4 linked regions of the Anolis sagrei genome follow. The protein of the gene in region 3 interacts with the protein of the main gene of each other region in a pairwise test. Links are inferred from orthologs where the notes say so. Each region holds a gene or a part of one and is shown on either strand. Other genes may lie near its edges. The genes, in order: FAM110A, AIRIM, RINT1 and SGF29.

Region 1 (7,950 bases), on a different chromosome or scaffold from region 3:
AAGAGAGAAGGAAGCATGGAATCAAAGAGCAAAGGAAGGAAGGAAAGAGGTAGAGAAGGAAGGAAGGAGAGAAGGAAAAAGGAACAGAAAAAAGGAAGGAAGGAAAGAGGAAGCGAAAGAAGGAGAGAAAGGAGGAGAGAAAGACGGAGGGAAGGAAAGAAAGTAAAAGAGGAGGAAGGAAAGAGGTAGAGAAGGAAGGAAGGAAGGAAGGAAGGAAGGAAGGAAGGAAGGAAGGAAGGAAGAGGGAGGGAAAAAAAGAAGGAAAGAGAGAAGGAAGCATGGAAGCGAAGAGCAAAGGAAGGAAGGAAAGAGGTAGAGAAGGAAGAAAGGAGAGAAAGAAAAAGGAACAGAAAAGGGAGAAGGAAGGAAAGAGGTAGAGAAGGAAGGAAGGAGAGAAGGAAAGAAAAAAGGAAGGAAGGAAGGAAAGAGGAAGCGAAGGAAGGTGAGAAAGGAGGAGAGAAAGATGGAAGGAAGGAAAGAAAGTAAGAGAGAAGGAAGGATGGAAGCAAAAAGCAAAGGAAGGAAAGAGGTAGAGAAAGAAGAAAGGAGAGAAAGAGGAAGGAAAAGAAAAAGGGGGAAGGAAGGAGAGAAAGAAAGAAGAAAAGGGAAGGAAAGAGAGAGTGAAGGAAGGAGAGAAAGAAGGAGAGAAAGAGGGAGGGAAGGTTGACCACAGCAATGCGTGGCAGGTACAGCTAGTCTGAAAATAAGCAGCAACAAATACAAACCTATTTTGATAATTAAACCTGTGTTACTTTAAGTTAAGTTTGTCTTTGTCTTGATGTACTTTCAGTGACTGTATTGCACTATTAATATCAAGTCAATACAGAGTTCATGGCATGGTACAATATGGGGTATGGTATTTGTTACACCTATTTTTAATAGCAACTCCCAAGCAACCAGAAACTACATGTATCCAGCACCTATCATTCCCCATGGTTGCCTGTTAACTGAGAGTCTATGTACATCTGAAAAGAATGGTCCAAAACAGCATCATAATGGCACTACTTGGAAACAGCATCAATAGCCAACAATAGGGTCATGGATAGTATTTGTATCACTGATGGTCCATCATTCAATCCATCTGTGTATATTATATGTGCCTTCATGATGCCTGTATTTATGGCAATTCCATGAATCTCAGAGGGTTTTCTTAGGGAAGGAATATTCAGATATGGTTCTGCCAATTCCTTCTTCTGAAATATAGAACCTGATATTCATTGGCAGTCTCCCATCCAAGCACTAACCAGAGGTGACCCTACTGAGCCTCCAAAACCAGACAGGATTTGGAGTATTGTAGGATACTTAGCATTTAATAAAAGTGATAGCCCAACCCCACCTTGCTGCTGTCAATATCTGTGTATTGATTTCCAGATGCATTTGAAGTCAAAATGCGCAAGAGACAAGAGTCTAGCAACCCAAACACCCCTGCTGCCTAGCAAATTAGGAGGCGGTGTTTTGATTTTCAGATATACTGGGAAAACATACATTTCTAAGTCGAGTCTGGTTGCAAAATATGGGACAACCCCAGCCCACCACACTTCCTGATGTCTTGGAAGGGGGAACTGATTTCTAGAAAGATAGGCACAGTGAGAAAGATAACTATAAAGCTACATGCAGTTTGCAAATCGTCTGGAAAGGGTCTGCTAATTGGTTTTCAGGTACGTTGGAAAGAGACAAATCCCTGGAGACAAGGAGTTGGCACCTTGAAAGTCAGCGACGCACTAAGAGTGCATCTATACCAGGTATGTGCAAACTTTGGCCCTCCAGGTGTTTTGGACTTCAACTCCCACAATTCCTAACAGCCTACCGGCTGTTAGGAATTGTGGGAGTTGGAGTCCAAAACACCTGGAGGGCCAGAGTTTGCCCATGCCTGATCTATACAGTTGAATGAATGCAGTTCAACACCATTTGAGCTGCCATGTCCAAATGCTATGGAATCATGAGATTTGTAGCTCAGCACCAACAGAGAAGAGAAGGCTGCAGACCTTGTAAAACTACAACTCCCATTGAGCTATGGCACTTCAGGTGGTGTCTAATTGCCTTTATTCTACAGTATAGATCAGTGTTTCTCAACCTTCCTAATGACACGACCCCTTAATACAGTTCCTCATGTTGTGGTGACCCCCATCCATAAAATTATTTTTGTTGCTAATTCATAACTGTAATTTTGCTCCTGCTATGAATCATCATGTAAATATCTGATATGCAGGGTGCATTTTCATTCATTAGACCAAATTTGGCACAAATACCCAATACATCCAAATTTGAATACTGGTGGGCTTGTGAGGTTGGGGGGAGAATTGATTTTGTCATTTGGGAGTTGTAGTTGCTGGGATTTATAGTTCACCTACAATCAAAGGGCATATTGAACTCCACCAGTGATGGAATTGAACCAAACATGGCACACAGGACTCCCACGACCAACAGAAAATACTGGAAGGGTTTGGTGGGCATTGACCTTGAGTTTTGGAATTGTGGTTCACCTGTACCCAGAGAGCACTGTGGACTCAAACAATGATGGATCTGGACCAAACTTGGCATGAATACTCAATTTGCCCAAATGTGAAAACTGGTGGAATTTGTGGAAAATAGACTTGACATTTGGGCGTTGTAGTTGTTGGGATTTATAGTTCACCTACAATCAAAGAGCATTTCGGTTTTGATTATGCTTTCTTGCCCTGGTGAAGGGAGTTGGACTGGATGGCCTTAAGACAGCATTTCTCAACCTGGGGGTTGCGAGGGGATGTCAGAGGGGTCACCAGGTACCACCAGAAACACTGTTGGTCATGGGGGTTCTGTGTGGGAGGTTTGGCTCAATTCTATCGTTGGTGGGGTTCAGAATGCTCTGTGATTGTAGTTGAACTATAAATCCCAGCCACTACAACTTCCAAATGTCAAGGTCTATTTTCCCCAAACTCCATCTGTGTTCATATTTGGGCATATAGAATATTTGTGCCAAGTTTGGTCCAGATCCATCATTTTTTGAGTCCACGGTGCTCTCTGGATGTAGGTGAACTATAACTCCCAAACTCAAGGTCAATGCCCACGAAACGAGGGGATGAGGAGCAGGGCCTTCTCGGTGGTGGCCCCTCACCTATGGAATTCACTCCCTGGGGAAATTAGATCATCGTCATCCCTCCTTTCCTTTAGAAGGAAATAAAAAACATGGATTTGGGACCAGGCGTTTGGGCAATCTGCCAGATAAATAAAGGACAACGACGACTGATAGGAATGGAAAATGTGGAATGAAGTTATGGACTCTGAGTTGCGAACGTTGAGCATAAGATTGTTTTTTTATTGACTGTGATATATATTGATTGTTTTTAACTGTTAAAACTGTTTTAATTGCTGTCTATTTTTTATCTGTATTACTGTGTAGGCCTCGAATTTTGCCTTTTTGTAAGCCGCCCTTAGTCCCCCCTTGGGGGTTGAGAAGGGCGCGGTAGAAGTACACGAAATAAATAAAATAAATAAACCCTTCTAGTGTTTTCTGTTGTTCGTCATGGGAGTCCTGTGTTCCACATTTGGTTCAATTCCATCATTGTTGGAGTTCAGAATGCTCTTTGATTGTAGGTGAACTATAAATCCCAGCAACTACAACTCCCAAATGACAAAATCAATTTTTTTTGAGTGAAGGACATACATTGGATTGTTAGGTGTCTTGTGTCCAAATTTGGTGTCAATTCATCCAGCCGTTTCTGAGTTATGTTAATCCCACAAATGAACATTACATTTTTATTTATATAGATTGCTAGCCTTAAGGAGAGGCAGGTAGTGAGTAAAATTATTATTGTTATCATCATCATTAGCATTTCCATGAACATTGCTAGCATTGCGGAGAGAGAAATGCTGAAAACCAATGGGGAAGGAGATATATTTTTGTTTTAACAAAAACCACTGGATGAAAACTAACAAAATGAAGTTCAACAGTTCAACAAGTGACCCCTTGCCACTTTGGCAGGAAAAACGAAATGCAAAGATACAGAATGGGGGAGCAGTACATGTGAAAAAGATCTTGGAGTCCTTGTGGACAACAAGTTAAACATGAGCCAACAATGTCATGTGGCGGCAAAAAAAGCCAATGGGATTTCGTCCTGCATCAAGAGGAGCATACTGTCTAGATCTCGGGAAGTAATGCTACCCATGCTCTATTCCGCTTTGGTGAGACCACACCTGGAATATTGTGTCCAATTCTGGGCACCACAACTGAAGAGAGATACTGACAAGCTGGAATGTGTCCAGAGGAGGGCGACTAAAATGATCAAAGGTCTGGAGAACAAGCCCTATGAGGAGCGGCTTAAGGAGCTGGGCATGTTCAGCCTGAAGAAGAGAAGGCTGAGAGGAGATATGATAGCCATGTATCAATATGTGAGAGGAAGCCACAGGGAGGAGGGAGCAAGCTTGTTTTCTGCTTCCCTGGAGACTAGGACGCAATGGAAGAATGGCTTCAAACTACAAGAGAGGAGATTCCATCTGAACATGAGGAAGACCTTCCTGACTGTGAGAGCCGTTCAGCAGTGGAACTCTCTGCCCCGGAGTGTGGTGGAGGCTGCTTCTTTGGAAGCTTTTAAGCAGAGGCTGGATGGCCATCTGTCAGGGGTGATTTGAATGCAATATTCCTGCTTCTTGGCAGAATGGGGTTGGACTGGATGGCCCATGAGGTCTCTTCCAACTCTGTGATTCTATGATTCTATGCTGCACCCAGCCTTAAGGAGAGTATGGCAAGGAATCAAACCTGTTGTTGTTATCCTTGCAAGGACTGCTGGGAATCATTGGCAGGCTTTCTGCAGGGAGGCAGGGCAGTGCCTTCCTTGGGCAAGCCCTCTTTCCCTCCCTCTCTCTTCCCAAATGCTGCTGCCTTCTTCTCTGCTGCTGGGCGAACCCCCTTCAGGAAGGGAAATTCCCCAGGTGAGTGTCAACAGGAAGTTGTGCAAGGCGCTCACCTGGGCGCTCAGGTCACCTGGGAAGGTTTAACTCGGCGCAGGCAGAACGAGAAGCAGCTGCTTCAGAGAAGAGACGAAAGGAGGAAAGGAGCTCCTGTTTTCTCTCTCAAGAAGGTAAGAAAGCTCCCTTTCTTTTCCTCCATTGCTGCCCACGTTGCAGATTGTCCTGCCAACTGAGGAGCCATGCCAGGCAGGCAGAGATGCAACAGGTAGAGTTGCATCTACCTGCCCTCTCTTTTGAACTCCCAGGATCATTTTTTCTTACTAGCTCAAAACTCCGATTCCCATTTTCCCCCTTTCCCCAGCTATCAGGTCTCCAAGAGCTGCATGACAGGTAGAAATCCAACAGGTAGGGTGCCTGCTTTCTCTTTTCAACTCCCAGAGCATTTTTCTTAGTTGTGCATGGCTTCTATTCCTCTTTCTCTCCTTTCTTTGGCTATCAAGTCTCCAAGAACTACCTGGCAGGTAGAAACTTAATAGGTAGAGTGATTGACCTCTCCCTCTTTTAGACACCTAAGTCACTTTTTTCTTAGTGGCAGAAGGCTCCCATTTCCTTTCCCCCTACTTTCCGGATTATCATATGTGGCAGGCAGAAATCCAACAGGTAGACTGACAACCCTCTCTCTTTTAGATACCCAGGTCTTTCTTCTATTCCCTTCTATTCCCATTTTCCCATGCTATCAAGACCCCAAGATTTGTGTTGCAGGTAGAAATCCAACAGGTAGGGTGCCTGCTTTCTTATTTCAACTCCCGGATGATTTTTCTTAGTAGTGCATGGCTTCTATTCCCCTTTCTCTGGCTATCAGGTCCCCAAGAGCTGCCTGGCAGGTAGAAACCCAACAGGTAGAGAACTTGACCTCTCTCTCTTTTAGACACCTAGGTCACTTTTTTCGTAGCAGCAGAAGGCTCTCATCCCTTTCCCCCACCATTTTCCGGATTATCATGTATGGCAGGCAGAACTCCAACAGGTAGGGTGGCAACCCTCTCTCTTTTAGACACCTAGGTCTGTCTTCTTAGTTGTGCAAGACTTCTATTCCCATTTTCCCATGCTATCAAGACCCCAAGATTTGTGTTGCAGGTAGAAATACAACAGGTAAAGTGCCTACTTTCTTTTTCAACTCTCAGAACATTTTTCTTAGTAATGCATGACTTCTATTCCCCCTTCCCTGGCTATCAAGCCCCAAAGACCTGCCTGGCAGGTAGAAACCCAACAGGTAGAGTGCTTCACTTCTCCCTCATTTAGACGCCAAAGTCACTTTTTTCTTAGGAGCAGAAGACTCCCATTTCCCCAACTTTCCAGATTATCATGTCTCCAAGAGCTGTGTGGCAGGCAGAAATCCAACAGGTAGGGTGGCAACCCTCTCTCCTTTAGACACCTAGGTGTGTCTTCTTAGTAATGCAAGACTTCTATTCCCACTTTCCCTCGCTATCAAGACTCCAAGATTTGTGCTGCAGGTAGAAATCCAACAGGTAGAGTGCTTGCCCTGTATCTATTTTCAAAGATGTCCTAGGTCATTGGTTCTCATAGAAAGCTGGAAGAAAATACAAGTTTTTGGACACTTTCAAAACTTATTGGCTTATTTTCACCTATGCTTGTCTCTGAAAAAAGGGCAAAAGCTTTGATTTAAGGTTAGCTTTTAAGGTGCCACGAAAGTCCCCATACAATAATAATAACAATAATAATAATAATAATAGAATACAGAAATAATAATAAAATCCCCTTTTCCTTCCCTTTTTGTCCCATACCCAGTAGAGAAGGGCAGAGAACTGTATGGCCTTCGGAAATATAGGGACCGGAACCCAAAGTATTCCTCACAACTGGCTCTGCTGGTCAGGGATGATGGGAATTGTTGTCCAAGGACATCTGGAAAGCTCCAAGATTCCTTCTCATGATAGATGGAGGGCCAACAGAAAAATGTAACTTTTCTTTTGACGAGAACACAGGATCGTTGGATTGAGTTAGGAATAATCGCTCAAGACTTAAGGGATCATGGGTTGCTGTGAGTTTTCTGGGCTGTTTGGCCATGTCCGAGAAGCATTCCCTCCTGACGTTTCACCCACATCTATGGCAGGCATCCTCAGAGATTGTGAGGTCTGTTGGAATCTAGGCAAGTGAGGTTTATATATCTGTGGAAGAATGTCAAGGGTGGGAGAAAGAACTCTTTGTCTGCTTGAGGCAAGTGTGAATGCTGCAATTGATCACCTCGATTAGTATTGAATAGCCTTGCAGCTTTAAGGCTTGCCTGCTTCCTCTCTGGGGGAATCCTTTGTTGGGAGGTGATTAGCTGGCCCTGATTGTCTGGAATTTCCCTGTATTTGAGTGTTGTTCCTTATTTACTGTCCCGATATTAGAGTTTTTAAATACTAGTAGCCAGATTGTGTTGATTTTCATGGTCTCCTTCAAAGAGTTGGAAGAGACCTCATGGGCCATCCAGTCCAACCCCATTCTGCCAAGAAGCAGGGATATTGTATTCAAATCACCCCTGACAGATGGTCATCCAGCCTCTGTTCAAAAGCTTCCAAAGAAGGAGCCTCCACCACTCTCCGGGGCAGAGAGTTCCACTGCTGAACAGCTCTCACAGTCAGGAAGTTCTTCCTCATGTTCAGATGGAATCTCCTCTCTTGTAGTTTGAAGCCATTGTTCCATTGCGTCCGAGTCTCCAAGGAAGCAGAAAACAAGTTGCTCCCTCCTCCCTGTGGCTTCCTCTCACATATTTATACATGGCTATCATGTCTCCTCTCAGTCTTCTCTTCTTCAGGCTAAACATGCCAGGCTCCTTAAGCCGCTCCTCATAGGGCTTGTTCTCCAGACCCTTGATCATTTTAGTCGCTCTCCTCTGGACACATTCCAGCTTGTCAATATCTCTCTTGAATTGTGGGGCCCAGAATTGGACACAATATTCCAGGTGTGGTCTAGATGGCTGGGAGGACAACAGATGGAGAATATACACTTCCCAGAATAGGGCCTGGATTATCATATGTGAAAAAGAAACTGCATTTTTCCCCT
Region 2 (7,401 bases), on a different chromosome or scaffold from region 3:
TAGGAGATGTCTACAGACAACGCCAGCTCTTCGGCTTAGAAATGAAGATAAGCACCATGCTCCAGAGTTGGACTCGACTAGATTTAATGTCAAGGGGAAACCTTTACCTTTTATGTTTTAATATATGCTTTTGTAGCTGCATTTTAACTATGTTTCAATATGGGATTTGATAGATCTGCCTGTGTTGTGCCCCGCCTTGGATTAAAAGGAGAGACAGATAATACAGTAGAGTCTTGCTTATCCAACATAAATGGGCTGGCAAAACGTTGGATAAGCGAAAATGTTGGATAATAAGGAGGGATTAAGGAAAAGTCTATTAAATGTCAAATTACATTATGATTTTACAAATGATGCACCAAAACATCATGTTTTACAACAAATCAACAGAAAAAGCAGTTCAATACAGAGTAACATTATGCAGTAATTACTGTATTTACAAATTTAGTACCCAAACAGACAAGGGTTCTTTTTTTCTCCCACCCTGGACATTATTCCGGGCGGGAGGCAGACTGCGTTGGATAATACAGAATGTTGGATAAGCGAAGACTGGATAAGCGAGACTCTACTGTAAACCAAATTAGGACACTATGTAACACAATTTTCAGTTTTTCAGTGACTATCTCATCATAAGAGTCTCAACCAATTTCAACCTATTTATTTATTTATTTGCTGTATTCGTATACCGCCCTTCTCAACCCTCAGGCAACTCAGGGAGGTTTACAGTGGCAACAATTCAATGCACAAAACACCATAAAACATTTAAAAACATTAACACATAATATAAAACTATAACAAGAGTATTAAAAACATAGATCATTTGCGTCTCCTAATAAAATCACTGTCCAATCTCGTCGTCCAGTCATTCTAATTCTTATGTCTTTTACCTTGCATTTTCAAATGCTTGCTCAAACAACCAAGTCTGGACACTTTTCCAAAATGTTAAGAGAGAGGGGGCCGATCTAATGTCCCAAGAAGGGCGTTCTATAGCCGAGGGGCCACCACTGAGAAGGCCCTGTCTCTCGTCCCCACCAAACGTGTTTGTGACGCAGGCGGGATGGAGAGCAGGGCCTCCCCGGACGATCTTAAAGTCCTGGCAGCCACAAAAATGATGTTTCTGGAGTAGAACTCCTTTGAAAATAATGATCGCATAATGAAACAGGAAATACCACTTTTGAAGCAGAAATAGACAATATTTCAATTTTTATTACATCTTTATTGGAAAAGTACAGCAGAGGCCCCTTCTACACTGCCATATAAAATCCAATTATTTGCTTTAAATTGGATTATAAGGCAGTGTAGACCAGGTATGGGTAAACTTGGGCCCTTGGTGTTTTGGACTCCAACTCCCACCATTCCTAACAGCCTCAGGCCCCTTTCCCCCCCAGCCACTTAAGGAAAGAACCTGAGGCTGTTAGGAATGGTGGGAGTTGAAGTCCAAAACACTTGAAGAGCTGAGGGGGGAAAGGAAGGGGCCTGAGGCTGTTGGGAATGGTGGGAGTTGGAGTCCAAAACACTTGAAGAGCTGAGAGGGGAAAGTAAGGGGCCTGAGGCTGTTGGGAATGGTGGGAGTTGGAGTCCAAAACACTTGAAGAGCTGAGGGGGGAAAGGAAGGGGCCTGAGGCTGTTGGGAATGGTGGGAGTTGGAGTCCAAAACACTTGAAGAGCTGAGAGGGGAAAGTAAGGGGCCTGAGGCTGTTGGGAATGGTGGGAGTTGGAGTCCAAAACACTTGAAGAGCTGAGAGGGGAAAGTAAGGGGCCTGAGGCTGTTGGGAATGGTGGGAGTTGGAGCCCAAAACACTTGAAGAGCTGAGGGGGGAAAGGAAGGAGCCTGAGGCTGTTGGGAATGGTGGGAGTTGGAGTCCAAAACACTTGAAGAGCTGAGAGGGGAAAGTAATGGGCCTGAGGCTGTTGGGAATGGTGGGAGTTGGAGTCCAAAACACTTGAAGAGCTGAGGGGGGAAAGGAAGGGGCCTGAGGCTGTTGGGAATGGTGGGAGTTGGAGTCCAAAACACTTGAAGAGCTGAGAGGAGAAAGTAAGGGGCCTGAGGCTGTTGGGAATGGTGGGAGTTGGAGTCCAAAACACTTGAAGAGCTGAGGGGGGAAACGAAGGGGCCTGAGGCTGTTGGGAATGGTGGGAGTTGGAGTCCAAAACATTTGAAGAACTGAGAGGGAAAAGTAAGGGGCCTGAGGCTGTTGGGAATGGTGGGAGTTGGAGTCCAAAACACTTGAAGAGCTGAGGGGGGAAAGGAAGGGGCCTGAGGCTGTTGGGAATGGTGGGAGTTGGAGTCCAAAACATTTGAAGAACTGAGAGGGAAAAGTAAGGGGCCTGAGGCTGTTGGGAATGGTGGGAGTTGGAGTCCAAAACACTTGAAGAGCTGAGGGGGGAAAGGAAGGGGCCTGAGGCTGTTGGGAATGGTGGGAGTTGGAGTCCAAAACATTTGAAGAACTGAGAGGGAAAAGTAAGGGGCCTGAGGCTGTTGGGAATGGTGGGAGTTGGAGTCCAAAACACCTGGAGGGCCCAAGTTTACCCATACCTGGGCTACATTGCCTTATAATCAATTTCAAAGCAAATAATGTGCCTAGATAGGCTCCCTTGACTAACTCACCTGCCTTCCGCCTTCTTCCCTTCCTCTAGCCGCCCCGGGGCCTGACGGGAAATGGAGTCCCACCGCCCTCCCGCCTCCTCCGATGGGCGTGGCTTGCCCTGGAGTGACGTCACAGGCATCTGCAGGCGGGGACTCCCTTCTCTCTGTGGCCAGGCTCATAAAGAATCCACATTGCTTGAACTTCAAAAGCTTGGATCCAACATTGTTCTTCCATTCAGGCAAAGGGCAGGAAAGCTGTATTCTCTTGTCTCTCCCTGCAGCTTCCTGAACCAGATTTGAACACCTTTGCAAAAAAATAAAAATCAGCCAATCCCATTTCATGGAGCATCCTAGGCTGCAAATGTGAGAAGACAAGTGGGAATGTCAGCGTTGTCCCATTTGTGGAAAGAGCCTTCAAGTCCAATGGAAAGGCAGGCCTGAGGAAGCCAGATAGTGCACTTCTAAGCATCCCCTGCCCTTACCTGGGCCAAGCTGGGCACCTGCAGAGTCCCACTGGGAAGACAGGTCAGGATTTGAAATGAAAATAAAGTATATTATACACATATAATATTGATAATATTATAATGTAATGCAACATAATACTAATAATAATGCAATATAATAATTATATATTTATATTACAAGTAATATTACTAATAATTTTACAGTATAGTGGTATAGTACAATATAGTAATATATAATACTGATATTGTGCTGTGCTAATATATTGTATACACATATAATATTGATAATATTATAATATAATATAATACTAATAATTAAATTTAATAATTACATATATATATATAACATGTAATATTACTAATGATATTACAATGTTGATCCAATTCCGAGCACAATTCAAAGTGCTGGTTTTGACCTACAAAACCCTATATGGTTCCGGCCCAGCGTATCTGTCCGAACGCCTCTCCTTCTACGTCCCGCCTCGGAGTTTAAGATCTTCTGGGGAGGTGCTGCTCTCGGCCCCACCTCTATCACAAGAGAAATTGGTGGGGATGAGGAGCAGGGCCTTCTCGGTGGTGGCCCCTCACCTGTGAAACTCACTCCCCGGAAAAATTAGGTCATTGACATCCCTCCTCGTCTTTAGAAGGAAATTAAAAACATGGATTTGGGACCAGGCCTTCGGGTTATCTGGCGGATAGATAAGGGGCAAGCAACAACTAGAATTGCTGGATTGGACAATGTGGAATTTGAATTTATGGACTATGAGCTGGTAAACGTTGAGCACTAGATTGTTTTTAGGGATTGTGATGTATAATGGATTGTTTTAATTGTTTTAATTACTGTTTATGTTTTATTTTTTACCTTGTTGTTGTGCCGGCATCGAATTGTGCCTTTTTGTAAGCCGCCCTGAGTCCCCCCTCGGGGGTTGAGAAGGGCGGGGTAGAAGTGCGAGAAATAAATAAATAAATGTAGTTGTATAGTACAATATGGAAATACATAATACTAATAATGTGCTATGCTAATAATATAATATATTATATGTACAAATAATGTGTAAGCCGCTCTGAGTCCCCTTCGGGGTGAGAAGGGTGGCATATAAATGTCGCAAATAAATAAATAAAATTAATATGTATTTTGAGTTGAAATTCACAAGCATGTGGACAATTTCAACAGAAAGGAGGAAACCATGAAAATAAACAAAGTCTGGCTACCAGTATTTAAAAAACTCTAAAATCAGGACAGTAAATGAAGAGCAACACTCAAAAAAACAGAGGAATTCCAGATAAGAATCAATCAGGGCCAGCTAACACCTCCCAACAAAGGATCCCCAGGCAGCAACCAGCCAGGCTTTGAAGCTGCAAGGCCATTCAATGCTAATCAAGGTGGCCAATGGCAATAAAATTCACACTTGCCTCAAGCAGACAAGAGTTCTTTCTCCCACCCTGGGCATTCCACAGATCTATAAATCTCGCTTGTCTAGTTTCCAACTGACATCATGACCTCTGAGGATGTCTGCCGTAGATGTGGGTGAAACGTTAGGAGAGAATGCATCTGGAACATGGCCATACAGCCTGGAAAGCTCACAGCAACCCTATGTCATCATACTCAGAAAGAAAGAGCTCAGGTGACGCAATGGGTTAAACCCTTGTACTGGCAGGACTGCTGACCAATAGGTCAGAGGTTCGAATCTGGGGAGAGCAGGTTGGGCTCCCTCTGTCAGCTCCAGCTCCCCATGCGGGACATGAGAGAAGCCTTCCACAAGGATGGTAAAGCATCAAACATTCGGACATCCCCTGGGCAATGACCTTGCAGACGGCCAATTCTCTCACACCAGAAGCGACTTGCAGTTTCTCTATTCACTCCTGACACACACACAAACACACACACACAAAACCCTCAGGAGCTAACTGCAGAGTCAGAATGACAAGTTTCCGAGGATGATGAAACCAGTGTGCAATGCCTAATGTCTGGTGCAACCACGGTGCACTGTTGGGACACCATGTATGATGCAATACAATATGTGATTGGCCAGATCTAGGATAACAGTGGGGCAGCTAGCATGATGACTGTGGATGAGTGTTTATGCTGGTGTTGCTGAATGTTACAAAGACGTTGGAAATAACCTTCAAGCCTCCACTAGTAATTTGTTTGTATAGGTTTCCATTTGCTTACTGTGTTGTATATGTATGTTTTGGTATGCAGCTTTCCCTTTACTCTGTTTCTTGAGGTTGTGGGACCACATGATCAGTTCTGAGACTGCTCAGACCTCAGACTCCATTACACTCTCAGACTGTTAAGACTACCTCTTACCTGCTTGACTTTGGACTGTTAAGAGACAACTCATGTTGTTGATTGTAAGAAAGATGCCCTGTGTTATCTGCACAGAGTAACTACTTCAAACCTATCTATAACTTGACAAGTTATGTACCTATATACTGAATACATGAAGGTTGTGAGTAAACCAAATGTTACTTTTAACAAAGTCCACTTTATTTTTGTCTCTTCAGAGAATGATATCGAAACAAGATGTTTTATGGGAGAGTAGATGTTTTTAGGCACTGAAAAAAATACTTCTGAAGAATGGCTATATTTTACGCATTGGCGTTGCTTCTGTTCCTAACAGATAAAAGAAAACCAGGTTATCAGCCTAACAACCAAAATGCTTTGCATAAGTACATGTGGTTATATCCCACACAAGAGAAGATTTTACTCAAATGATACATTTTTTTGTTCTTCTCTGGAAGATCATAATTTTACAAAAGGTTATTTTTAAAATGGTTGGAAAACCAGGGAGATTCTGGTTTTCCAAAATAAGAGAGATCTACGTGAGAGAACTGCTGTGAAGATTGCTGAGGGGAGAAAGTGAGAGGACTTGGTTTTATACAAAGCTTTGCATGTATGCATTGTTGGAAGATAAAAGACTTCTTGAATGTGGAAAGAAACTTCTGCCGTCCTTGCCTGTGATTTCTGTTCGAATCCGGTACTAACAGATCACTAGGATATTTAGAGAACTCCCATCACTCATAGATTGAGCTTAACACGCCAAACAAGACAGGCCTTTGGCAGCAAGGCCCAGGCAGAGGGCAAGAGCCTGGCACCAGTAACTCCTGGCCAGCCCTTCTTTTCTTTTCTTTTCTTTTCTTTTCTTTTCTTTTCTTTTCTTTCTTTCTTTCTGTCTGTCTCTCCCTCCTGGGGAGGGGGGGCTCAGGGACCCTAGTGCTCATCACCTAGAATCATGGAAGAAACCTCATGGACCATCCAGTCCAACTCCCTGCCAAGAAGCAGGAAAATTGCATTTAAAGCCCCCCTGACAGATGGCCATCCAGCCTGTTTCAAAGCCTCCAATGAAGGAGCCTCCATCACACTCCAGGGCAGAGTTCCACTGAACAGCTCTCTCCATTAGGAAGTTCTTCCTAATGTTCAGGTGGAGTCTCCTTTCCTGTAGTTTGAAGCCATTGTTCCATGTCCTAGTTTCCAGGGCAGCAGAAAACAAGCCTGGTCCCTCCTATGACTTCCCTTCACATGTTTATACATGCCCTTCATCATGTCTCCTCTCAGCCTTGTGTTCTGCAGGCTAAACAAGCTCAGCTCTTTAAGCCACTCCTCATAGGGCTTGTTTTCCAGACATCTCCCTTCAATTACAGTGTCCAGAATTTGACACAGTGTGATTCCAGGTGTGATCTGACCAAGGCAGAATAGTTGGGTAGCATGACTTCCCTGGATCTAGATAGTATACACCTATTTATGAAGGCCAAAATTCAATTGGGTTTCTTTGCCGCCGCATCACATTGTTAGCTCATGTTCACCTTCCTCCCCATGAGGACTCCAAGATCTTGTTTACATGTACTGCTGTAGAATCAGGCATCTCCCATTCTGTATCATGGCATTTCAGTTGTTCTGCCTAAGTGGATTATCTTGCATTTGTCCCTGCTGAACTTCATTTTGTTAGGTTGGGCCCATCTCTATTCTGTTAGATTGTTTTGAATTCTCAACCTTGTACACAACCCTCCCGCCTGTTACTTTCCTGGCCCCTTTCTCTTGCACAGGCCTCCTTCCACATACAGGTCTTCAACAGACACATTTGCAGCAATGTCCACCCTCCCCACCCCCTCTCTGTAAAAGGAAGGACGGAGCCAGCAGTAGCACACGCAGCAGTCTGCAGAAAGTTTCTGTTTACTGAGATTGGTCCCAATGCTGCCCCATGTCTTTGGGTTTCCACAGAGGCTTCACAAGTTCAAAGGCCATAGGATGCCCGTTAAGAGGGAAGCCCCACCATCGTGGAGCAGCTCCCCATTTACTCCAGGATTAATGCTACCCCAACGTTCTCAGACCCAGACGTCCCAGTGCTTCCT
Region 3 (6,984 bases):
CAAACAGCAGCATAGGGCAGTTGAAATTGATATGGCATGCAGAGCTGACAATCCAGAAATCACTTTTAATAGCCCCCCCCCCCCCCCTCAATTGAGGAATGGACAGCGAAAGTAATAGAATATATGAATACGCAACTACTTAAAGACCATAACCAACTGGCTACCACTGAAAATTTACCTGCAAGAGAAGATGAAATTATAAAAATTCGGAAAAAGAATGGGGAAAAAAAGAAAAGAAAAAAACCCCGAAATAACAAAAATAGCGGACTATCCACAAAAATATTATTTGGGAAATATTATCTCTCTGTGGCATGGACTGGAAGTCCCTTAACCCCCCTATTTTTCTCTATTCACCCCACTCCTTCCCTACTTCCCCTCCCCCGTTCCATCCCCTTCCCACTCTAGTCCAACCCCTCACTAGTAACCCTCCTCTCTATCTAATTTCCTACTTTCTTTCACTCCGGTTTTGTTCCCCTGCTTTCACTGTTATTATGAAAAGATGGCAAATAAAAATGATAAAATCAGAAATCACTATTAATAGGCTTTGTGTTCCAGCTAAACACCAACCTTTATCTCTGTAAAATGATCACATTGCACACATTCATAAATGACACAGGTACACGTTTCTGTCTTTATGGAAAGCTCACATGCCACAATACAGGATTTTTGAGGCATCTTGTTCTGTATGTATAAAAGGAAAGCTTCCAAGACTTAAACAAGGGATATCCTTTATAAGAGGCATCAAGTAAGAGACATCTGGACATCAAGTAAGAGACATCCCATAGGGACACCAGGCAAATGAATATGCTATTGAAGCCAATGGGACGACTTCACTATTGTGTGTTTTGTTTGCCAGGGGAGTTGTTTTTGCATATGTGCTGTAGCATCTTTTTGATTTTTTAGCTTTTTAAGACCCTCCGCTGTGTTTTTCAGTGTTTTTATTAGTGATGGTCACTTGTTGGCCTGATAGGTGTATTGTGTCCAAATTTTGTGTCAATTCGTCCAGTGTTTTTTGAGTTATGTTAATCCCACAAGCTAACATTAGATTTTTATTTATATAGAAGATGTGGAAGGGGCCAAAAATAATCCAAATCAGATAGTGTGGATTTTCTGCTTTGATAAAGTGGATTGTCTGGCAGTGTAGAATGGGTTTGAGCCTGCCACTTTTGGACTCTCGCTTGCTGAGGTGTTCCAGCGAGTGTCTCTGTAGATCTAAGAAAACTATGTCTTGATTTAAGTCAACGTGCTGGCTGATACCCAAACGGGGGATGAGCTGAAGGGGTCTCTGCCTTGGTCCTTTCACTATTGGCTGCTACTTCCCGGCGGATGTCAGGTGGTGCAATAAGCAGTGTAATGTCTCCAGTGGTGTAGGGCGCAGACACCCCGTGATAATGCGGCATGTCTCATTAAGAGCCACATCCACTGTTTTAGTATGGTGAGATGTGTTCCACACTGGGCATGCATACTCAGCAGCAGAGTAGCATAGTGTAAGGGCAGATGTCTTCACTGTGTCTGGTTGTGATCCCCAGGTTGTGCCAGTCAGCTTTTGTATGATATTGTTTCTGTTGTTGTTGTTCATTCGTTCAGTCGTCTCCGACTCTTCATGATCTCATGGACCAGCCCACGCCAGAGCTCCCTGTCGGCCGTTACCACCCCCAGCTCCCTCAAGGTCAGTCCAGTCACTTCAAGGATGCCATCCATCCATCTTGCCCTTGGTCGGCCCCTCTTCCTTTTGCCTTCCACTTTCCCCAGCATAATTGTCTTCTCTAGGCTTTCCTGTCTCCTCATGATGTGGCCAAAGTACTTCAACTTTGTCTCTAGTATCTTTCCCTCCAGTGAGCAGTCGGGCTTTATTTCCTGGAGGATGGACTGGTTGGATCTTCTCGCAATCCAAGGCACTCTCAGAACTTTCCTCCAACACCACAGTTCAAAAGCATCGATCTTCCTTCGCTCAGCCTTCCCTAAGGTCCAGCTCTCACATCCGTAGGTTACTACAGGGAATACCATGGCTTTGACTAGGCGGATCTTTGTTGCCAGTCTGATGTCTCTACTCTTTACTATTTTATCGAGATTGGACATTGCTCTCCTCCCAAGAAGTAAGCGTCTTCTGATTTCCTGGCTACAGTCTGCATCTGCAGTAATCTTTGCACCTAGAAATACAAAGTCTGTCACGGCCTCCACGGTTTCTCCCTCTATTTTCCAGTTGTCAATCATTCTTGTTGCCATAATCTTGGTTTTTTTGACGTTTAGCTGCAACCCGGCTTTTGCGCTTTCTTCTTTCGCCTTGATGAGAAGGCTCCTCAGCTCCTCCTCGCTTTCGGCCATCAGAGTGGTGTCATCTGCATATCTGAGATATTGTTTCTAGCACCCACTTTTTGCTTGATGTTCAGGCAGTGCTTCTTGTAGGTCAGAGCACGGTCCAGAGTGACTCCAAGGTATTTGGGTGTGCTGCAATGCTCCAGTGGGATTCCTTCCCAGGTGATCCTCAGAGCTCGGGATGCTTGTTTCAAAGCAGATAATGTAGATTTTATACAGAAAGGACCTCGAAGAGGTGTGAGGATTCGTGACCTAAGCCAAGCCTTATTCCTACTTGAACAGGCCCAGTCCTGTTCAACATCTTTATTAATGACTTAGATGAAGGGTTAAAAGGCATGATCATCAAATTTGCAGACGACACCAAATTGGGAGGGATAGCCATTGCCAATACTCCAGAGGACAGGAGCAGGATTCAAAACTATCTTGACAGATTAGAGCGATGGGCCAAAACTAACTAAATGAAGTTCAACAGTGACAAATGCAAAATACTCCACTTTGGCAGGAAAAACGAAATGCAAAGATACAGAATGGGGGACAATAATGCCTGGCTCGAGAGCAGTACGTGTGAAAAAGATCTTGGAGTCCTCGTGGATAACAAGTTAAACATGAGCCAATAATGTGATGTGGCGGCAAAAAAAGCCAATGGGATTTTGGCCTGCATCAATAGGAGCATAGTGTCTAGATCTAGGGAAGTAATGCTACCCTTCTATTCCGCTTTGGTTAGACCACACCAGGAATATTGTGTCCAATTCTGGGCACCACAATTCAAGAGAGATATTGACAAGCTGGAATGTGTCCAGAGGAGGGCGACTAAAATGATCAAGGGTCTGGAGAACAAGCCCTATGAGGAGTGGCTTAAGGAGCTGGGCATGTTTAGCCTGAAGAAGAGAAGGCTGAGAGGAGATATGATAGCCATGTATAAATATGTGAGAGGAAGCCACAGGGAGGAGGGAGCAAGCTTGTTTTCTGCTTCCCTGGAGACTAGGATGAGAAACAATGGCTTCAAACTACAAGGACATGAGGAAGAACTTCCTGACTGTGAGCCATTCAGCAGTGGAACTCTCTGCCCCGGAGTGTGGTGGAGGCTCCTTCTTTGGAAGCTTTTAAACAGAGGCTGGATGGCCATCTGTCAGGGATGATTTGAGTGCAATATTCCTGCTTCTTGGCAGGGGGTTGGACTGGATGGCCCATGAGATCTCTTCCAACTCTTTGATTCTATGATAACCCACTTCAAAGCAGATTTTGTGGGATTTTCTGCCCTGGCATTCTGGGTCCACACTGCCATACAATCCAGTTCAAATCAGATAATGTAGAATTTATACAGAAGGGACCTCGAAGGGGTGTGAGTATTCCTGACCTAAGCCAAGCCTTATGAAATTGCCACAACACACAACTTGGAGGCACATGTAACTTGCTAGCCAACCACAAGTTCGCTATGCTGGGTTTCCTCCCACTTACCTCGCCCCCTTTTGTAATGTTATGGACTGTCGTCACTTCCGCCGCAGGAGGAAAATGGCTCCGAAACCCAAGCCGGAAGTTGAGTGCTGGCTGTTCCACCCTCCCTCGGCCAGGCAGGGACGCAGCTGCGGTGGCCACGTGACCCTTGGAGCGAGGGGACGGGCCTGTTCGAGCACGCGCCCCTCTCCGCTCTCGCGTTGCTGCTCGCTTAGAAGGAGGGCGGGCTGCCGGGTTTGGCAGAGTTTGCTGCTGACGCGTCGCTGTTAGGGGCGGGGCAAGCGAAGGGGCGTGGCTTAAACCTGGAGGCCGGTGAGTGGGTAGGTGGACGCCTCGCGCGCGCCTCGTTCTCCTCAAAATTGGGGGGGGGGGGGGAGTGGTTGCTAAGGGATTACTCCATGGGGGGGGGTTGTTACCTGGCAACGGCCAAACTTGGGAGGAAATATGGCCACTCCGCCTCAGGACTGTCCTGCTTTCAGTTGCTCTCAACCAGGGCTGAGTTGCATTCTTCCATTTAGGATTACACCTCCCTTGACTAATTTCTTCTATTCCAAAGGAGCCCTTGGACTGTATTTAAGCCCCCTTGCCCATAACATTGGCAGGCAACTGGTTCTTTGGCCTGCTTGTAGAGGAATTGCTTTCCCCACGCCATTTATTATGAAACTAGCCGTCCCCTGCCACGCGTTGCTGTGGCTCAGTCTGGTGATCTGGAAAATAAAGTAATGAGAAAATGTTGGCTTCTAATCTATGTAATTTCTTGATGCTTGTGAGTAAACAGTATTTATTGCTGTTTCTTTGTCAATGTAGATGTGAAGATTGTCTGGTTTGCCTATTCTGGAATATGCAACATATAATTGTGCTTCTTTAGGGGTCCCTTTCAAATCTATGATACTATATCTCTCTTTGTATCAATCTTATATATCTATCTATATCTGTAGCTGGATGGCTCTTTGTCAGGAGGGTTTTGATTACATTTTCTTGCTCTGGTGAAGGGAGTTGGACTGGATGGCCTTAAGTATTTTCTGCCCCAATTCTGTCGTTGGTGGGGTTTATTTTTTTAAAAAATTTGTATTCCGCTCTTCTCAGCCCTTAGGCGACTCAGAGCGGTTCACAACAATTTACGTATACACAATACAAAATCATTAAGTATTTAAAAGCAATAGCTCCACAAATCATTAAACATCATTAAACATCAATATCAATACATCACTACATCAATATAACAAATCCATCAGGTCTCATCAATGAAATCAGAATCCAAACTCGTTATCCGATATTCCGTGTTCCGATAGTCAGTCAATCAATCACACTATTTAGTCGAATGCCTGTTCAAACAGCCAGGTCTTTACTTTCCTCCGGAATGCCAGCAAGGAGGGGGTCGATTTAATATCTGCAGGAAGGGCGTTCCACAGCCGAGGGGCCACCACTGAGAAGGCTCTGTCTCTCGTCCCCGCCAGGCGTGCTTGTGAAGCCGGCGGGATCGAGAGCAGGGCCTCCCCAGACGATCTTAATGTCCTAACTGGTTCAAAGGAGGAGACGCGTTCGGACAGGTAGGTCGGGCCAGAACCGTTTAGGGTTTTAAAGGCTAAAGCCAGCACTTTGAATTCTTCCCGGTAGCAAATTGGCAGCCAGTGGAGCTGGCGCAGCAGTGGAGTGGTATGCTCCCTGAGTGCCGCTCCTGTTAGCATCCTGGCTGCCGATCGTAGGACCATTTGAAGCTTCCGAGCAGTCTTCAAAGGCAACCCCACGTAGAAAGCGTTGCAGTAGTCTAAATGGGATGTGACTAGAGCATGGACTACCGTGGCCAAGTCAGGCTTCCCAAGGTGCGGGCGCAGCTGGCGCACTAGTTTTAACTGTGCAAATGCTCCCCTGGTCACTGCTGAAGCCTGAATCCAAGATCCAAGATCACACCCAAGCTGCGAACCTGCGTCTTCAGGGGGAGTGCGACCCCGTCCAACACAGGCTGTAACCCTATACCCTGTTCGGCCTTGCGACTGACCAGGAGTACCTCTGTCTTGTCTGGATTCAATTTCAATTTGTTCGCCCTCATCCAGACCATCGCAGCAGCCAAGCACCGGTTCAGAACCTGAACAGCCTCCTTAGTAGTAGATGGAAAGGAGTGACAGAGTTGGACATCATCTGCGTACAGATGACATCGTATCCCGAAACTCCGGGTTCAGAATGTTCTTTGATTGTAGGTGAACTATAAATCCCAGTAACTGCAACTTCCAAATGTCAAAGTCTAATTCCCCCAAACTCTATCTGTGTTCATATTTGGGCATATGGAATATTTGTGCCAAATTTGGTCCAGATCCATCATTGTTTTGAGTCCACAATGCTATCTGGATGTAGGTGAACTACAACTCCCAAACTCAAGGTCAATGCCCACCAAACCCTTCTAGTGTTTTCTGTTGGTCAGGGGAGTTCTGTGTGCCACATTTGGTTCAAGTCCATCATTGGTGGAGTTCTGAATTCTCTTTGATTGTAGGTGAACTATAAATCCCAGCAACTACAACTCCCAAATGACAAAAACAGTTTTTTTGAGTGATGGTTATTTATTTACCGTGTCAGCTCAACCAGTCGATTATATTACATTTCTAACAGAACAAAGCAAACAAACAGACAGAATACAAAATTTGTGAGTTTTGTAGTTGATTAAATGTCCTTTGACCAGTAGCTGGCCACTTGGAGTGCCTCTGGTGTTGCTGCAAGAAGGTCCTCCACTGTGATGAGTGATGGGCACTCATTAGGTTAGTAGGAGTTTTGTGGCCAAATTTAGCAGCAATTCGTCCAGTGGTTTTTGAGTTATGTTAATCCCACAAACTACCATTACATTTTTATTTATATAGACTAGCCATCCCCTGCCATGCGTTGCTGTGGCCCAGTCTGTGTGTATGTGCTTTGTGTGTGTATATTTGTGTATATGTGTATATATGTGGTTTTGACCCTGTTTCAATTTTCTGGCATTGCTTTCAAGATAAAATCCTATATACATATGGTTGTGCCCAACTTTTAATTAATCAAATTGTAAATAATCTTTCATTGCAGAATATTTAATCGTGTTCTTTGGAGATGGCGCAACCATTGGTTGAAAGTGAAGAACCTTTGTTCTCTGAAGAGGTATGTGGATTTATTTGCCATTTTCTAGGCATATTTCTAATAATTGTATTCTCTTTATCTGTTTTTCACTAGTTAATTATGTCCTAAGCTTGC
Region 4 (8,126 bases), on a different chromosome or scaffold from region 3:
TTAAGCAAGACTAAAAGCTGGAAAGTATAAAAGTTTCCAGCTTTTAGTCTTGAATAATCCCTTCCTCCCACTTTTTCGCTGCTTTTCAGATGTCTTGGTTTGCCTTTGCCTTCCTCTGGATTTAATAATAATAATAATAATAATAATAATAATAATAATTATTATTATTATTATTATTTGGTGATTGGCCCACTGGGTGCAGTACCTAAAGACCTTGGCCTGCACTTAAAAACAATTGGCGCTGACAAAATTACCACCTGTCAGCTGCCCGGATCTGCATGCATTATTCGCCAATACATCACACAGTCCTAGACATTTTGGAAGCCAGTATAGTGATCTTGATTGCTGTGTACTAATATTGTTGTGTATAGTAATTTTATTTCTTACCCACCTCTCCTCAGGGCTCAAGGTAGGTTACAAAACAATTAAACGATATAAACACAGCAAAACTCTACAAATATTCACACTAAAACATACTTCCATAAAAGTTACACACCAAAACGTATCTCTAAAAACTGCATATTATGACACACAAAACAGAGATGGAACAAAGGACATTTAAAATTCATGTTGAAAGACTGTCTGGGTAGACCTGCCCGAAGAGATAAATCTTTACATGGTTTTGAAATTCCATCAGCTGATTTAGGTGTCGGAGCTCTACCAGCAGGTTGTTCCACAGCCTGGGGGAGGCTGACTAAATGGTCCTCTGGGTGGTGGTTGCCAGTCAGGTTCTGCCTGGTTAGAGCAGATGCCCCTCAGAAGACTGAAGTGTGTGGGGCAGATTGTATGGGAGAAGGCGATCCTTTAGGTAACTTGGCCTTTAAAGGTCAAAACTATCACCTTGTAATTAGCTCAGAAAATAACTGGCAGCCAGTGGAGTGACTTTAGGATAGGTGTGATATGCTTACTCCTGAATGTTCCTGTAACCCAGTGGTTCTCAACCTGTTTGTCCCCAGGTGTTTTAGTCTACAACTCCCAGAAATCCCAGCCAGTCTACCAGCTGTCAGGATTTCTGGGAGTTGAAGGTCAAAACATCTGGGGACCCACAGGCTGAGAACCACTGCTGTAACCAATCTTGCTGCTGTATTTTGAACGAGTTGGGAGTTTCCGAACTTGGTACAAGGGTAGCCCAATGTCAAGTGCATTGCAAAAGTCCAACCTTGAGGTTACCAGTGCATGCACTACTATCTTTATGTCCTCCAAAGCTAGGAAGGGGTGCAGCTGGCATATCAGTCAAAGCTGATAGTAAGCACTCCTGTCACATCTACGTGGGTTGACATTTGGAGAGATGGTTCCAGGAGTAAGCTGCAAACACAAGTCTTTCAGGGGGAGTGCAACCCCATCCAGAACTGGTTGACACACCTCCATCCTCAGATGAGGACCCTTGGTGGCAAGCACCTGTTTTGTTTGAATTCAGTTTCAATTTGTTTATCCACATCCAGCCTATTACCTGCTCCGGGTATTCGTTTAGAGGAGACATACTATCCTCAGATGAAGATGTCTTTGAAGGCATGGAGAAATATATTTGGGTGTCATCACACATATTGGATATAGCCTATATGTCTGCTTTAATCCAATATTTATTTCTAATCTATGCGTTTTAAATATGTTTAGTTACATAATTCAAAGCTGGGGTGAAAATTGCTGGAAGAAACATTAACAACCTCAGATATGCAGATGACACCACTCTGATGGCCGAAAGCGAGGAGGAGCTGAGGAGCCTTCTAATCAAGGTGAAAGAAGAAAGTGCAAAAGCCGGGTTGCAGCTAAACATAAAAAAAAACCAAGATTATGGCAACAAGAATGACTGACAACTGGAAAATAAAGGGAGAAAATGTGGAGGCCGTGACAGACTTTGTATTTCTAGGCGCAAAGATTACTGCAGATGCAGACTGTGGCCAGGAAATCAGAAGGAGGAATGTCCAGTCTCAATAAAATAGTAAAGAGTAGAGACATCAGACTGGCAACAAAGATCCGCCTAGTCAAAGCCATGGTATTCCCTGTAGTAACCTACGGATGTGAGAGCTGGACCTTAGGGAAGGCTGAGCGAAGATCGATGCTTTTGAGCTGTGGTGCTGGAGGAAAGTTCTGAGAGTGCCTTGGACTGCGAGAAGATCCAACCAGTCCATCCTCCAGGAAATAAAACCCGACTGCTCATTGGAGGGAAGGATACTAGAGACTTTGGCCACATCATGAGGAGACAGCAAAGCCTGGAGAAGACAATGATGCTGGGGAAAGTGGAAGGTAAAAGGAAGCGGGGCCGACCAAGGGCAAGATGGATGGATGGCATCCTTGAAGTGACTGGACTGACCTTGAAGGAGCTGGGGGTGGTGACGTCCGACAGGGAGCTCTGGCGTGGGCTGGTCCATGAGGTCACGAAGAGTCTGAGACGACTGAACGAATGAACAACAACACATAATTCTAGGTTGTGTCCCACCTTTAGTCTTGGGGAAAGTAGCCTAAGACACAATAATAGTATTATTATCATCACCTGGTGTTCTCTGTACTTGGCTTCCCATTCAAGTACTAACCAGGCCTGGTCCTATTTAGCTTCCAATAACAAAAGGAATATAATGTCTTCAATGTGTAGGTTTATTAATATTGCTACTTTCTACCCTAAAAATAGATCTTTGTTAAAGTAATATGCTTGGAGAAGAAGCTTTGCTCAATATGGCAGCACATGTTTCCTCAAATTCTGTAATAGCCTTTGGACTCTCACAATTCCTTATTACAAAGTAAAACAATAGGGTTATACTCTGGCTGCAGCTGAACAAGTGGTTGCGCATGCGCAAAACCAAAAGCCACGTTTTCCTGGCTCCCAAGCGCAAGAGCGAGCGCGCATGCGCAAAGCCACATATTGGTTTCGCCCTCAGCACCCTTCTTTGTAGCAGCGCCCTCCCCCGCTCCCTACCGTTTGGGACTTAGATCGGTAGCAGCAGGACGACGTAGGAATGCGGGTGCGAGAAAACACAAAACAAAAAAAATATAAAAATTAAAAAAAATGCGGGTACGACTGAAAATGGCGCTAAATCCGCAGGAAGGAGTACCACGCATGCGCAGTTTGGAACCTGCCTTTGGGCGGCGCGCGCAACTGAAGTTTTTTTTTTTCTGACTGGAGGACAGATGAGTTCTAGTGCGCATGCGTAATATTCTCGGCAACGTTCGTTTCGCTGTCTTCTCGCATTCCAATGCCGAGCCGACTTTGTACCAATGCTATAGCAGCCTTCCTGACGCGCATGCGCATTAGTTACTACATGAGAGCCCTAAATCAACAGGCAACTTCAAGGCACAGAATTATTTTTGGAAATCCAATATTTTAAAAAAAATATTGGGACTGATGGACAATGCAATTTTAAGCATGTTTATTATAAAAACAGCTTATAAGTCAATGCTCTTTTGAACTACAAGTCCCAGAAGTCTCAGCCATAGAATCATAGAATCAAAGAGTTGGAAGAGACCTCATGGGCCATCCAGTCCAACCCCCTGCCAAGAAGCAGGAATATTGCATTCAAATCACCCCTGACAGTTGGCCATCCAGCCTCTGTTTAAAAGCCTCCAAAGAAGGAGCCTCCACCACACTCCGGGGCAGAGAGTTCCACTGCTGAACAGCTCTCACAGTCAGGAAGTTCTTCCTCATGTTCAGATGGAATCTCCTCTCTTGTAGTTTGAAGCCATTGTTCCGCGTCCTAGTCTCCAGGGAAGCAGCCAGTTTGGCCAAATGTCATGAAGTCCAAACAAAGAACCAAAGAGGCCTAAGCTTCAAGTGAAGCCTCATCTGCACTGCTTGAAGGTGCATTGCAGTTGAATGGCTGTGGCAGAGAAGGCCCAAAACCATGTAAAACTACAACTCTCCCGATCCCATAGCATTGAGCCATGGCTTTTCAAGTGGTGACAAACTGATCTACAGTGTAGATGTGCGGATGCTAAGCTAGGTACAACGGTTCTTCAAGCCCCTGCTTCTTTCCAACTCTGGCTGAAACCCAGTTGTTTTTCGCCGCTAAGTGTTGACTCCGCCCTATAGGCTAAGTGTTGCCTATTAACTAACTAACGTTTAGTTAGTTAATAATTGTTCATCTATTGAGTACAAGGTGAACCAGCGCTATTGATTCGAGATAAGATTGTGCAGCTTTCGCTGAGGTAAGGCCTCTGAAAACTGAAAGGACAAGGCAACTTGTTGTTAAACCAATGGTGGGAATTATGGGTGATTCTTCTGGGTAGGGCCAATGGGAGTTGCAGTTCATCAAGTTCCAATTGATTTGAGTGGTTGTCTTGGTTGGGACTGATAACTCTTTATCAGGCATTGAGATCGAAAGTAACTCCCCCCATCCCCTCGGACTCTGTAAAATATGGTTCAAAATCAGGGAATTCATAGTTTTGCCAAGGACACCAGGCTGGAATCCTCTCATAATCCTCTATCTCCCCCATGTGGGAACCTAAGGCTTTTTCTATGGCCCTATGGCCCAACTAATGGACTTCCCATGAACTTTATAGGAACTTTTATAAACTCTTGCCAAACTTTATGGACTTTAATGGACTTTGAGGGGCTGACGTGACTTTCACTTAGACCCTGCCCCATTTCCCCATCCCCTATGTGTATGGATGTATGTTTATATGAAAATATGAAGGAAAAAGCCACTGTTTCATAAAACCAGCAACTCTCATGGCTCAGAAAGTCCTTCACGACTCCTGAGCTGGTTTTATTTATTTGTCGTGTCAGGAGCGACCTGAGAAACTACAAGTCGCTCCTGTTGTGAGAGAATTGGCCGTCTGCAAGGACATTGCCCAGGGGACGCCCGAATTATTTGATGTTTTTATCATCCTTGTGGGAGGCTTCTCTCATGTCCCCGCATGAGGAGCTGGAGCTGATAGAGGGAGCTCATCCGCCTCTCCCTGGATTCGAACCTATGACCTGTCGGTCTTCAGTCCTGCCGGCACAGAGCTTTTATTTATTTATTTATTTACTAGCTGTGCCCTGCCACGCGTTGCTGTGGCCTTTAGTAAGAGTTTTGAATTCTCTGCCTGGCCTCTCTTCCTTCCTTCCCTCGCTCTCTTTCCCTCTCTCTCACACACACACTCCTTCCTTTCCCCTCTTTCTCTCTTTCCCCCTTTCTCTCTCTCACACTCCTTCCTTTCCCCTCTTTCTCTCTCTCTCTCCCTCTTTCTCTCTCTCTCACTCCTTCCTTTCCCCTCTTTCTCTCTCTTTCCCTCTTTCTCTCTCTCTCACTCCTTCCTTTCCCCTCTTTGTCTCTCTCTTTCCCTCTTTCTCTCTCACACTCCTTCCTTTCCCCTCTTTCTCTCTCTCTTTCCCTCTTTCTCTCTCTCACACTCCTTCCTTTCCCCTCTTTCTCTCTCTCTTTCCCTCTTTCTCTCTCTCACACTCCTTCCTTTCCCCTCTTTCTCTCTCTCTTTCCCTCTTTCTCTCTCTCTCACACTCCTTCCTTTCCCCTCTTTCTCTCTCTCTTTCCCTCTTTCTCTCTCTCTCACACTCCTTCCTTTCCCCTCTTTTCCTCTCTCTTTCTGTCTCTGGCATCCCTCCTTCCTCCCCCTTCTTTATGCTTGTGTGTAAACTTGAGTATTTTGGCCATAGTTGGCCATAGGGGTTCAGTGTGGCATGTTTGCCCTAATTCTGTCATTGGTGGGGTTCACGATGCTCTTTGAGTGTTGGTGAACTGTGAATTCCAGTGACTACAACTCCCAAATGTCAAGGTCTATTTTCCCCAAACTTCATCTGTGTTCATATTTGGGCGTATTGAATGCTTATGCTAAGTTTGGTCCGGATCCATCATTGTTTGAGTCCACAGTGCTGTCTGGATGTAGGTGAACTACAACTCCCAAACTCAAGGTCAATGCCCTCCAATCTTTTCCAGTGCTTTCTGTTGGTCATGGGAGTTCTGTGTGCCAAGTTTGGTTCATTTCCATCATTGGTGGAGTCCAGAATGCTCTTTGATTGTAGGTGAACTGTAAATCCCAGGAACTACATCTCGCAAATGACAAAATCATAATTGTTTGAGTGATGGTCACTCCTTCTGTTGTGAGACGTTGTGTTGTGTTGTGGAGCCTCCCCTTCCTCTCCCCCCCCCCCGCCTTTCCCTTCCCTTCCCTTCCCAGCACTCGCCTCTTTTGCTGTTCTTCCGTCGTCCCTCCCTCTGGCCGGAGTCGTCCAAAAAGGCAAGAAGGAAGCGGGCGGCAGGGGCGCGGCTTAGGCAACAGAGGCTTTGTGCGGGGCCTAGCTTTGCACGAAGCCTCTCTCGCCTAGAGGGGAGGGGAGGAAGAAGGAGGGGGAGGAGGTGAGATTGGGGAAGAAGAAGGAGGAGGTAAGAAGGAGAAGGGAGGGGTGGTGAGTTAGCGGCGTGTGTGTTTGTGTGGAAGGCAGGGGGGTTTGTTACCGGCGTTTGGTTGTGTTGCGGAGAAGGGAGGGGGTGTGCGTTAGCGGCGTGTGTGTTTGTGTGTTGCAGGGAAGGGAGGGGTGGTGAGTTAGCGGCGTGTGTGTTTGTGTGGAAGGCAGGGGGGTTTGTTACCGGCGTTTGGTTGTGTTGCGGGGAAGGGATGGTGTGTGTGTTAGCGGCGTGTGTGTTTGTGTGTTGCAGGGAAGGCAGGGGGGTTTGTTACCGCCGTTTGGTTGTGTTGCGGGGAAGGGAGGGGGTGTGTGTTAGGGGCGTGTGTGTTTGTGTGTTGTAGGGAAGGGAGGGGTGGTGAGTTAGCGGCGTGTGTGTTTGTGTAGAAGGCAGGGGGGTTTGTTACCGGCGTTTGGTTGTGTTGCGGGGAAGGGAGGAGGTGTGCGTTAGCGGCGTGTGTGTTTGTGTGTTGCGGGGAAGGGAGGTGTGGTGAGTTAGCGGGGGGAGGGGTTGTTACCGGCGTTTGGTTGTGTTGCGGGGAAGGGAGGGGGTGTGTTTTACCAGAGCTGCGTTGGAGGAGGGAAGGAGTGTTTCAGGGCCGGAAGGGGTGGGAGGAAGTTGCGATGCGTGTGTGTGTGTTTGTGGCGGCGACGTGTTCGTGCTGGGCGAGGGAGGGAGGGAAGTGCCGTTCGGCCGTTCGGCCATGTGTGCGCGCGCGCTGGGGACTTTGCGGCAGTGCGCATGCTCAGTTGTTTTGCCACTTTGTGAGTGTGTTGTTGTGTTGTTTGTAATTGTGAGTGGATTAGTTTGTACCGAGTGGGTTGTCCTAGGGCCATGGCAATTTTGGTGCAGTTTCGTTGGGGGGGTTTAGAGTTTACCTGTCCGGTTGAACCAACCTAACAGATTTATATATATAGATTTATTTACTTTGCTTATATACCGCTGTATCACAAGCCTGAAGGCGACTCACAGCGGTTCACAAACAGTAAAAACAGTAGAAACAGCAGTGGTTCCATACAACATATAACAATTGACTTAACACATTATCCATAAATTACCAATAAGCAATTACAATGCACAATTATTACGAAAAACAACCGTACCCAATCTTCTCATCATCCAAGCGTAGTCCAGGTTCGTCGTCCATTGTTCCATTCCTATATTCCATTACCAGATTGCACTAAATTACTCAAACGCCTGCACAAACATCCAGGTCTTCACCTTTTTGCGGAATACCATTAGAGATGGTGCTAGTCTAATGTCCATAGGAAGGGTGTTCCACAGCCGAGGAGCCACCACCGAGAAGGCCCTATCTCTCGTCCCCGCCAGCCGAGCTTGAGAAGCAGGCGGGATCGAGAGCAGGGTCTCCCCGGAAGATCTCAAAGTCCTGGTGGGTTCATAGGCAGAGATGCGGTCAGATAGGTAGCTTGGGCCAGAACCGTTTAGGGCTTTAAAGGCCAACGCCAGCACTTTGAATTCAGCCCGGTAGCAGATCGGTAGCCAGTGGAGTTGGCGCAACAGGGGGGTTGTATGCTCCCTGCGCTCCGCTCCTGTTAAAATCATGGCTGCCGAGCGTTGGACTAGTTGGAGCTTCCGAGCTGTCTTCAAAGGCAACCCCACATAGAGAGCGTTGCAGTAGTCTAAACGGGATGTAACCAGAGCGTGGACTACCGTGACCAAGTCAGACTTCCCAAGGTACGGGCGCAGCTGGCGCACAAGCTTTAGCTGTGCAAATGCTCCCCTGGTCACCGCCAAAACCTGGGGTTCCAGGCTCAGCGATGAGTCCAGGGT

What was found.
Region 1: the proteins of RINT1 (region 3) and FAM110A interact in binary tests that used the Homo sapiens proteins (3 or more experiments, as listed by UniProt). The two-hybrid records come from large-scale screens. The link is inferred for Anolis sagrei from reciprocal best matches to the Homo sapiens genes RINT1 and FAM110A.
Region 2: the proteins of RINT1 (region 3) and AIRIM interact in binary tests that used the Homo sapiens proteins (3 or more experiments, as listed by UniProt). The two-hybrid records come from large-scale screens. The link is inferred for Anolis sagrei from reciprocal best matches to the Homo sapiens genes RINT1 and AIRIM.
Region 4: the proteins of RINT1 (region 3) and SGF29 interact in binary tests that used the Homo sapiens proteins (3 or more experiments, as listed by UniProt). The two-hybrid records come from large-scale screens. The link is inferred for Anolis sagrei from reciprocal best matches to the Homo sapiens genes RINT1 and SGF29.

What each region holds. Positions count from the first base shown.
Region 1 is NC_090024.1:240,806,536-240,814,485, forward strand, and holds the start of FAM110A (protein FAM110A), read left to right. Parts: upstream 1-4,899; 5' UTR 4,900-5,057; intron 5,058-7,950.
Region 2 is NC_090034.1:86,340,262-86,347,662, forward strand, and holds the start of AIRIM (AFG2-interacting ribosome maturation factor), read right to left. Parts: upstream 3,022-7,401; 5' UTR 2,725-3,021; coding exon 2,606-2,724; intron 1-2,605. UniProt on the Homo sapiens protein: Part of the 55LCC heterohexameric ATPase complex which is chromatin-associated and promotes replisome proteostasis to maintain replication fork progression and genome stability.
Region 3 is NC_090025.1:83,924,658-83,931,641, reverse strand, and holds the start of RINT1 (RAD50-interacting protein 1), read left to right. Parts: upstream 1-3,967; 5' UTR 3,968-4,083; exon of another isoform or gene 4,084-4,091; intron 4,092-6,819; 5' UTR 6,820-6,843; coding exon 6,844-6,891; intron 6,892-6,984. UniProt on the Homo sapiens protein: Involved in regulation of membrane traffic between the Golgi and the endoplasmic reticulum (ER); the function is proposed to depend on its association in the NRZ complex which is believed to play a role in SNARE assembly at the ER.
Region 4 is NC_090026.1:23,382,076-23,390,201, reverse strand, and holds the start of SGF29 (SAGA-associated factor 29), read right to left. Parts: upstream 3,093-8,126; 5' UTR 3,055-3,092; coding exon 2,912-3,054; intron 1,767-2,911; coding exon 1,665-1,766; intron 1-1,664. UniProt on the Homo sapiens protein: Chromatin reader component of some histone acetyltransferase (HAT) SAGA-type complexes like the TFTC-HAT, ATAC or STAGA complexes.